Drosophila melanogaster: one gene and its partner. The protein of the gene in region 1 interacts with the protein of each later gene in a pairwise test. Each region holds a gene or a part of one and is shown on either strand. Other genes may lie near its edges. The genes, in order: CG13097 and CG4866.

Region 1 (5,144 bases):
GGATTCTGTCCGTCATACTGATACTGTTAATGCTTACTTTAAGACTATCCTCGCTTCCTCGCCATCGATCAGAATCTTCTGACCATTGAACAAGCAGAACTCACGTTTAACGTGCGCGAACAGCAGATCGGTGATTAGAAATATCTGCCCAGTGGAAAACGCAAGAGTGGCACCGAAATAGAAATTGGCATTTGCCGATCCTGCATAGATCCACAAATGCCAAAGGGCTCCCATCATAGATAGAGTGACCAGGAAGAACGTAAAGACCACAAAGCCATGGGCCATGACTGAAAGAAATTACCAAAGTGCTTAGCAGTTGAAATAACTACGTGAGCCAGATAACTTACATTTCCAACATCTTTTCCACAGCGGAAGCAAGGCCAGATAAAAGCCGACATCGCCCAGGCTGGGATACGCCCTAAAAACGGCCATAAGGGCCACCAATACCGTGGCTAGCAGTAGGGGCTCCTTGCGCAGCTTAATACTTAGTGGCACCAGGTATAATACGGTGGCATTCAATTGGAATGTGATTAGGAACATGGTGCGGAAGTGCTCAAACATTTCAGTAAAAAAGTACCAGAAGAGACCGATATTTGGCTGTAGATCGCGGAAATAAAATCTGTAAGATAGTTAAATACGTAAAAATACAAACAGATAACTAATAAGATAGTTCTTGCTTACATAAAACCCAACGTTCCATCCAGGAAGTTCCAGCTGTTCAGCACAAAATAGTTCGCAACTGCCACGATTAGACAACTGACGATAAAGAGCGCCGCTATAGCCACACCCCTCCTGACCGAATTCCGTGAAAAGACCAGGAGCAGTGGTGCTATAAGTACAATGGGATAGAAGCTGCGGACAGTTTCGAACGCGAGGACTAGAAGGCATGGAATGAGCATTCCCTTCACGAGGCAGTAGAAAAAGAAAGCCAGGAACAGATTGCTTATCACGGTGGAGGTCATTCCAATGCAGCTCATAACAGTCAGTGGACTGAAAAGATATGCCACGATCACAAGTTCCGGAATGTCAAGCTTGTCCAGCGGGCCAAACTGCAGCTCTTCCGTATCCTTGGCATACTCCTTTCGCTCCTTGTCCTGCTGATCCTGCTTTTGCTTGACGAATCTCAGACTCATCGCATAAAGCAGGGCCGCCGTGCAGATATCCAGGATTATGTAGAATATCGGCAGAAACTGCGGGTATTTTTGAAACAATCCGGAGAGCGCGCTGAGTATCAGCGGCGATTCGTGTACCAGGTCGCCCAGATAGGGATCAATGCCACTCTGTAGAAGAAATATCCCCTCTTGCACTGCAAGAATAACTCCATTCAGACTTGTTCATCTATTTGATGTCTACTTTGTTTACTTACTGCGCTTGTGTGAATTTAAAGGTGTCGCGAACTCCACTCGGTTGCCAATCATCGGAGCCAGCGGCGTGCGACAGAAGTAGAAGCGCACGGCGCCGCCCAGCAGGAGCAGTTTAAAGAACTTCGAATCCATCTTCTAGTTGGGCATAGTTTTTGTGAACGGACTCCGCCTGTAAAAAGCCGCCTACAGCTGGCTTGGTGGTGGCAAAGGCCTTCGATAAATTATCGATTTCCTTGTCACGATATACGGCTTCTGGTCTACTGTGTAAGCAATTATGATTTTTTTTAGAGCTTTGTTTTCTTCAAGTTAAATATATTTATTATTTTTGGAATAACAAATTTTGGCTCAAAACAGGATTCCAACTCGCATAAAGTTTTTAAGCTTGGAAAAACTTGTACTTGTATCACGCGCTCATCTCTATGTATCTGTTCCATCTCTCACCAACTGGTTGTTGTTTTTGGACCCGCTCTTGCGCTCGAATTGTTGGAATATATATTTCATTTAATTAAGCACAGAAAGCAGTAGTAAAAATGATTGGAAGTAAAAAATCCAAGGAGGCGAATGTCTTCAAGGAAATCGCAGAGAACTTCGAGCAGCTGACCAAGAATCCAGAGCGTTTTCTCCAGTTTGTTTTCCTTCCAAAGACCGCGCACGTGTTTTTTCAAACGTAGTCAAAACAATTTATATTTCAGGCCACAGCCGGAACAAGTGAATGCCATCGAGCAGCTTATCCAGCAGACATACGCCGTTAGCATCAGCGAGGATGTGGCGAACAAGAAGGAACTGCTGCCGGAATTGGTGCTGGAGCAAATGGACGAGGAGCAGATCTGGCAGCAACTGGAGATTCGCAACGAACTAGTGTTCCAACAGGTGCTGGAGCAAACCGCCAGGCTGACGGCGATGCGCGAGCAGCACCTGGGCATTGAACTGGACGATGGTGAAGAAATAGAGGAAGAAGACGAAGTAATACAAGCTGAAGACTCAGGCGATGAGGAACAAGATGAGGAATCAGACTTCAGCGACGAGGATGGAGGGCTACAAAAGCAGAAGACCGCGCCGCCGAAAGACAAACGAAACAAGCGACTACGCAACTCTGTGGTGGACGATACCTTCTTCAAGTTGGAAGAGATGAATGAGTTCCTGGAGCAGGAGGATGCCAAGGAGATGCGCCGCCTGAACAGCAAGAAACGCGTTGAGCAGGCCGATGATATAGATCATTTCGCAGAGGATTTTGGTCTTGGCGAAGATGAGGAGGACGATGAGGAGGGGAATGTCAACTATGCGGACTTCTTTGACATGAATGAGGAACTGACAGAGCATTCTAAAAAGATTAACAAAGGCAAGCAGAAAGATTTCTTCAATGAAAACGAGAGTGAAAATGAAAATGAACCGGATGAGGATGCAAATCCCAAAGAGGGCGATTCTGATCAAAGCGAAGGAGACGAGGGCGATGATGAACCTGAAAATGATCAAGATCCAGATGAGGCGGCCAGCGAAATAGATGAATCCGAATTCGTGGCAAAAAGTGGCATAGAACCTGCCAGCGATTCAGACTCGGATTCGGAGAAAGAAGAGGAGGAGCCACAACCCACAGAGCCACCGTCCCAATCATCCAATGAGATGAGAGAGGCTCGTTTGTTTCAACGCATCCGCGACTACGAAGACATTGTCCTAGGCGAGAAGCCTTGGCAGCTCAAAGGCGAAGTAAAGGCAGCCAATCGGCCCCAGAACTCACTGCTTGAGGAGATTCTCGACTTCGATTCGACCACCAGGCCAACGGCGCCAATCACGGAAGAGGATAACCGCTCCATCGAGGACATAATTAAGCAGCGTATTCGCGACAAAGCATGGGACGATGTGGAGCGCACTGTGCGACCGGTGAACACCCCGCAAGAGTACAGAAAACAACTTGTGCTTGACCAGGAGAAATCAAAACAATCGCTGTCGCAGATCTACGAGGCGCAGTATCAGCGCGAAATGGAAAAACTCGATCCCAATCGCGATGCCGATGACAAAACTGGTCCGGAACCGAAAGAACACCAAGAAATCAAGCGGGCAATGCGTTCCCTATTCCTTAAATTGGACGCCCTCTCCAATTTCCACTTCACGCCGAAACCGGTGGCGCCGGAGATCAAGATCGTAACGAACACACCAGCAGTTCACATGGAAGAGGTGGCCCCGCTGGCGGTGAGCGATGCCAAGCTGCTGGCACCCGAGGAGGTGTTCCGCGGACCCAAGCACGCTCCACTTGGCAAGACCGAACGCGATCGAACGGATAAGAACCGCGAGCGCCGCAAAAAGAAGCAAAAGCAGCGGGCCATCCACTCGGCTCTGGAGCAGCGCGAGCTTCAGCGAGCCAAGGAGGGCAAGGCGCCCACAAAGAAGGAAGCGGATGCCAAGCTGCTCAAGACAATCACCAAGAATCGCAATGTTCAAAAGGTATATAACATTTTAGTTTATCTCTGTTTTATGTTTTGTATTTAATTGCTATTCTTGAGCGATTTTGAATTCTAAATGAATCAAACTTTAAACGATTTTCTTGCAGATCAATGCCAGCAGCAACGACCAGGGAGCTCTGAAGTCCTCAAAGGCTTTCTTCCACAAACTGCAGGATACCGCAGCGGCTACAGCATCCAAAAAGCGACCGAAAAAGGATACCGCCAAGGCGGATGCCAAGAAGCTGAAGCTTTAAACGTACACGCTAGGACTCCTTCATATTGTAATTGCCTTAAGCCAGCAAAGTTTTCTCGTCTCCAGTCACGTGCCAGAAAGTTGTCACAAGCACACACGTATGCCCACATAGCAATCCTTGTTGCAAGAATATCTTTAGCATGTACTGTGTGTCTGGGGAGTCCCCAATTTGGTGCTCCATGGGAGATGCCATGTGTCGGTACTTTTAATGTTCCATGTGCGCGGATCCATCGTATGTGTATGTGATGCGTGGGCGCTTTGTGTGTGGCGGCGTGTGAGTCAAGGACATTCTGTGTCCTGTTGAGGCGATTAGGCACGCGTGCAGCTTGCGGAATTTGACTATTCTTAGAATTATTTACTTAAAATAACTGTTTGCTATGTAAATAGTACCCTAATTAAAGAAAGCAAAGCAAGTAACGTAGCCACTTGTTTTTTTGTTGGATTAGAGTAGAAATACTCAATCATATAATCATCATCATAATTTCTATATTACATTACAAAATTAAAAAATTTAATTTTATCTTCTAAGGGAGAAATAGAGATGGGATACAAATCGAAATCGATATGCTATAACGGTCAATTTTCCAATCGGTTTTGGTGAAACAGCTGCTATTGGTGCTCGGCCCTGCGAAGGGGGTGTGTATTGGCTAAAGTTGTGACCGTGCCTGAGACATCGGTAATGAAAATAGTTCCCGATATCGACTGTAGCTACGTTTTGCGATTCTGAACATATCGATATTAAAGCGTAGCACGTGTGGTTGTGGTGCATTTTAAATATAGTTTTGCTCGAGTTTTTACGCATCTGTCAAAAAAGCAAAAAATAATATGGTTAAAGTACAGAAACCGCAGCCCAAGTCGCTGAACAAGAGCGCCAGCATCGAGGGCGTGGTTAAGAAAAAGGGTAAACCGGAAAAGACCAAGAAACTGGCCACAGACGCTACTCTGGAGTTGGCCAGCAACAAAAAGGCAAAGAACGCGGCTCCGGTGAAAAAAGATGCCATCAAGAAGGAGCCGGAGGTGTCCAAGAAGGGAGCCGAGAAGAAGCAGTCAAAAGCGGCCAAGCGCCCACTAATTTTGGCTCCTCCTGAG
Region 2 (3,274 bases), on another chromosome or scaffold:
CACTAGAACCATTTCGAATGCATTTGCTTCTTATGCCTGAGCCTGGCTTGAATCGACTCGTCTAACTGCCATCGATCTTACTTTTAACTTTGTTCATTAGTCACTTTTTAGACCGCTCAACTGTTCGATGCACCTGCCTGCACCTTAGTCCCTAACCACAACCACACTCATCTCGTTTTATAAATAAAGCGACCGATCAATCCCACGCTGGTATCTTATAATTTATTGTGTACATCCGCTGGCTCTCACTTGTTTCCAAAACTGATATTACTTTAACATCCGCAAGGTATTTCAACACGATTGACTTTAGATAGCGAAGTGAGGGTAAAAACTAATAGAGCATAATCCAACTGAACCGCCATTATAAAATGATTCCGAGCAGATCGGTAATTCGGGGGATCAGGATAAAATAAATATGTATATGTATGTGCGTGTCGGCGCAGTTGTGCCCTTGGCGCAATTCGCTCCGGAATAATGAATATTAATGAGATCTAAACATTATTATATAAAATGTAATAAAGTTATTGAACATGATTATTTAACAAAGTCTTAGTTGGTTTTATTGCAAGTTAGCTTTAGTTACTCTACTGGTTATCTTAAGGGAGGTAGTCTCTCTACATTTGGAAATCGTCACGCATGTCGTTGTAGCGGAGTACATGCTCCTTGATCTTGGAGCCATCCACCCAGGTGACAAAGTCCTCGAGGTTTCTGGAGACCAGAAAAGCAGGATCCTTAATCATTTCCGGACCAACACGCACATGACCATGCTCTATGAGGTCTGTGGCCGCTTTCAGGTGCTCCGACATTCGAACTGCCAACGGAAAATGGTTATATGAAAATGAAGTGCTTATTAAGGGATGGTACTCACGTTTCACCATGATCACGGGTAGACGACGTCGGCAAAAGTGGCTGGCAGATATCTTGGCCGCCGTTTCCAAAGTAAGCTGATCATTGGAAACTCCCATGGCGTGCAGCTTGTTTAGGAGCATGGTGGTGGCCTCCGTCTTGAAAGGTTCTGAAGCATCCAGCTTAGCTATCCTCTCTGCCAGTTCCCGTATCTCCCTGGACAACTTGTTATACCTAAAAATTAACAAATTTAATGGGGATTTAAATACGTGAGCAATTTGGTCTCTTACTTGGTGTAGTCCTCCCTTTTTTGAATGTGAAAGCGCCTAAGGATTTTGTTCTCCTTGCCGCCGTTGTCCACTTTCCAGGTGATGAAGTCCACCTTTTTAAGCAGCTTCTGCTCATGAAATTTGAGTTTACGAACCATTTTTATTTATATTATTTTGCAAATTAATTTTTTGTTGACGAACTACTCGCACATGTGCTGCGCAGTGTGACCAGAGCACGCACAACTGCAGCACCATAAAAACAAACAGCTGATTTGTGCGTCTTCAAGCGGCTTCTGTATAATAAAATTTAGATAGTTTTTTAAAATCGTAATTGCTGCAATGGCAGCCTCAATGGATGAGGATATAACCGCCAACCCGCCCCCAAGCAGCGAAGAGGACCCCCTGGCCGAGGAGCGCCTAGGCTTTGTGCGGGAAGTGGGCGCGCAGGCTGTTTGGAGCCTCTCCTCCTGCAAGCCGGGTAACTTTTGGTGTAACTACGTGATCCTTACATATTCTACAATTTTCTTTGGCCTTCAGGATTTGGTGTAGAGCGTTTGCGAGACAACATCATGGATACTTATTGGCAGTCGGACGGTCAGCTTCCCCACCTGGTCAACATTCAATTCCACAAGCGTACGAACATCAGTCAGATTTACATATACACGGATTACAAGCTGGACGAGAGTTACACGCCATCAAGGATCTCCATACGATCTGGAACGAACTTCAACGACTTGCAGGAGCTGCAGGTGATGGACCTGACCGAACCCACCGGCTGGGTGCAGATACCCATTAAGGATGGGAACGTCAAGTCCATACGCACCTTCATGCTTCAGATTGCTGTGATCTCGAACCACCAGAATGGCAGGGACACCCACATGCGCCAGATCCGCATCCATGCGCCCGTCGAGGGCAAGCACTATCCTCTGGAACTGTTTGGCAAGTTTGGAACGGTCGACTTTCAGAAGTTCGCCACCATTCGTTAGGGAAAACTTTGGGATTTATCGAAGTCTTTTATTTTTATGTATTTTTCGGGGTATATAACTGCTAAAATACAACATTTAAAACATTACTTTAGTAATTTTATGCATATTTTTGGTGTTTCTAATTAAATGCCCGTCACTTGTATATATATAATTCGAATGCAAATAAATATATACCGTCGTCTAAGCTTAAGTACAAATTAACAAACACAGTGGAAGTGTAAGAGTTATTATTGTTACTGTTTTATCGCGATACAAATGCAAAATGTGAAAATGGAACGCCAACGAAAGAGTGCGAGAATTATTGCATCGTTTTGTATTGTATTGCACTATCTCGAGGATTGTCGTTAATGATTGGTGATTATGTGTTCGATTTCCTTGCAGCTTTCAACGTCTTGTAGTGATCCTTCTCCTCGCCGGTCTCGGGTGGCTCGCTTTCGTAGGAGGCCTTCATCAAAAGATCCTCGCTCAGCACCTCCGCCTTCAACAGGTAGGACACCACACTAGGCAACTGCTCGTATGGACAGTCCAATCGCTGCCATTTGCCAAAATTCCGCAGCTGGGTGCCCAAATGAAGGCACTTCTCAAAGTTTATGTATCCGTTGGCCAATCTGCAAACGGATTTGAATTCGGTTAATCTCGAAACAGAGCTCATTTATGCACAAACAAACTCACTTTGTTTCATGGCTCTCGTTAATGGCATGCAAATCTTTGAGGAACAGCGAGAAGAATGGGATGATGGCACGCTCAATTTCGTTGGCCATTTCCCTTTCCGAACGCCAAACAGCTGCCTTCATGGTGGATCTGTAGTTAAGAAAGTTCGAACTGGGATCCATTTGATGCTCCAAACCCTCGAACTTTGTCGTCTGCACTTTGGCCCACTATAAAAAATAGTAGTAAAATCAGACTTCACTCGTTTTACTTAACGAAAACTCACCGTTTTCTTTAGGCGAGCTATGGCAGTAAGATTCAATGCTGTTAGAATGGCCATCAAGCTGTTGAAGTTGCCTGTGTTAAAGCATTCCAGAGCTGTTTCCACCCAGAAGTCGATCATTTGTGCTCTCTGGGACTTTTTGCCCAACTAGGAACGAACGAATCATATTTTTTATTTGATTAATGGTTAATTTTTTTTTTAGTACTCACCTTTAATATTTCCGTTGCAGTCAAGTAGCTTAG

Evidence for each region.
Region 2: the proteins of CG13097 (region 1) and CG4866 interact in a two-hybrid assay, tested with the Drosophila melanogaster proteins (one large-scale study listed by BioGRID).

The regions. Positions count from the first base shown.
Region 1 is NT_033779.5:8,511,505-8,516,648, reverse strand, and holds CG13097 (uncharacterized protein), read left to right. Parts: upstream 1-1,780; 5' UTR 1,781-1,894; coding exon 1,895-1,989; intron 1,990-2,056; coding exon 2,057-3,803; intron 3,804-3,909; coding exon 3,910-4,056; 3' UTR 4,057-4,475; downstream 4,476-5,144. Other genes in the region: PIG-U (phosphatidylinositol glycan anchor biosynthesis class U), read right to left, coding at 34-287, 348-619, 682-1,306, 1,367-1,496; CG13096 (uncharacterized protein), read left to right, coding at 4,881-5,144.
Region 2 is NT_033778.4:17,516,290-17,519,563, reverse strand, and holds CG4866 (uncharacterized protein), read right to left. Parts: upstream 1,342-3,274; 5' UTR 1,274-1,341; coding exon 1,137-1,273; intron 1,081-1,136; coding exon 869-1,080; intron 812-868; coding exon 615-811; 3' UTR 537-614; downstream 1-536. Other genes in the region: APC10 (anaphase promoting complex subunit 10), read left to right, coding at 1,455-1,593, 1,653-2,101; CG4853 (uncharacterized protein), read right to left, coding at 2,460-2,709, 2,774-2,979, 3,036-3,179, 3,242-3,274.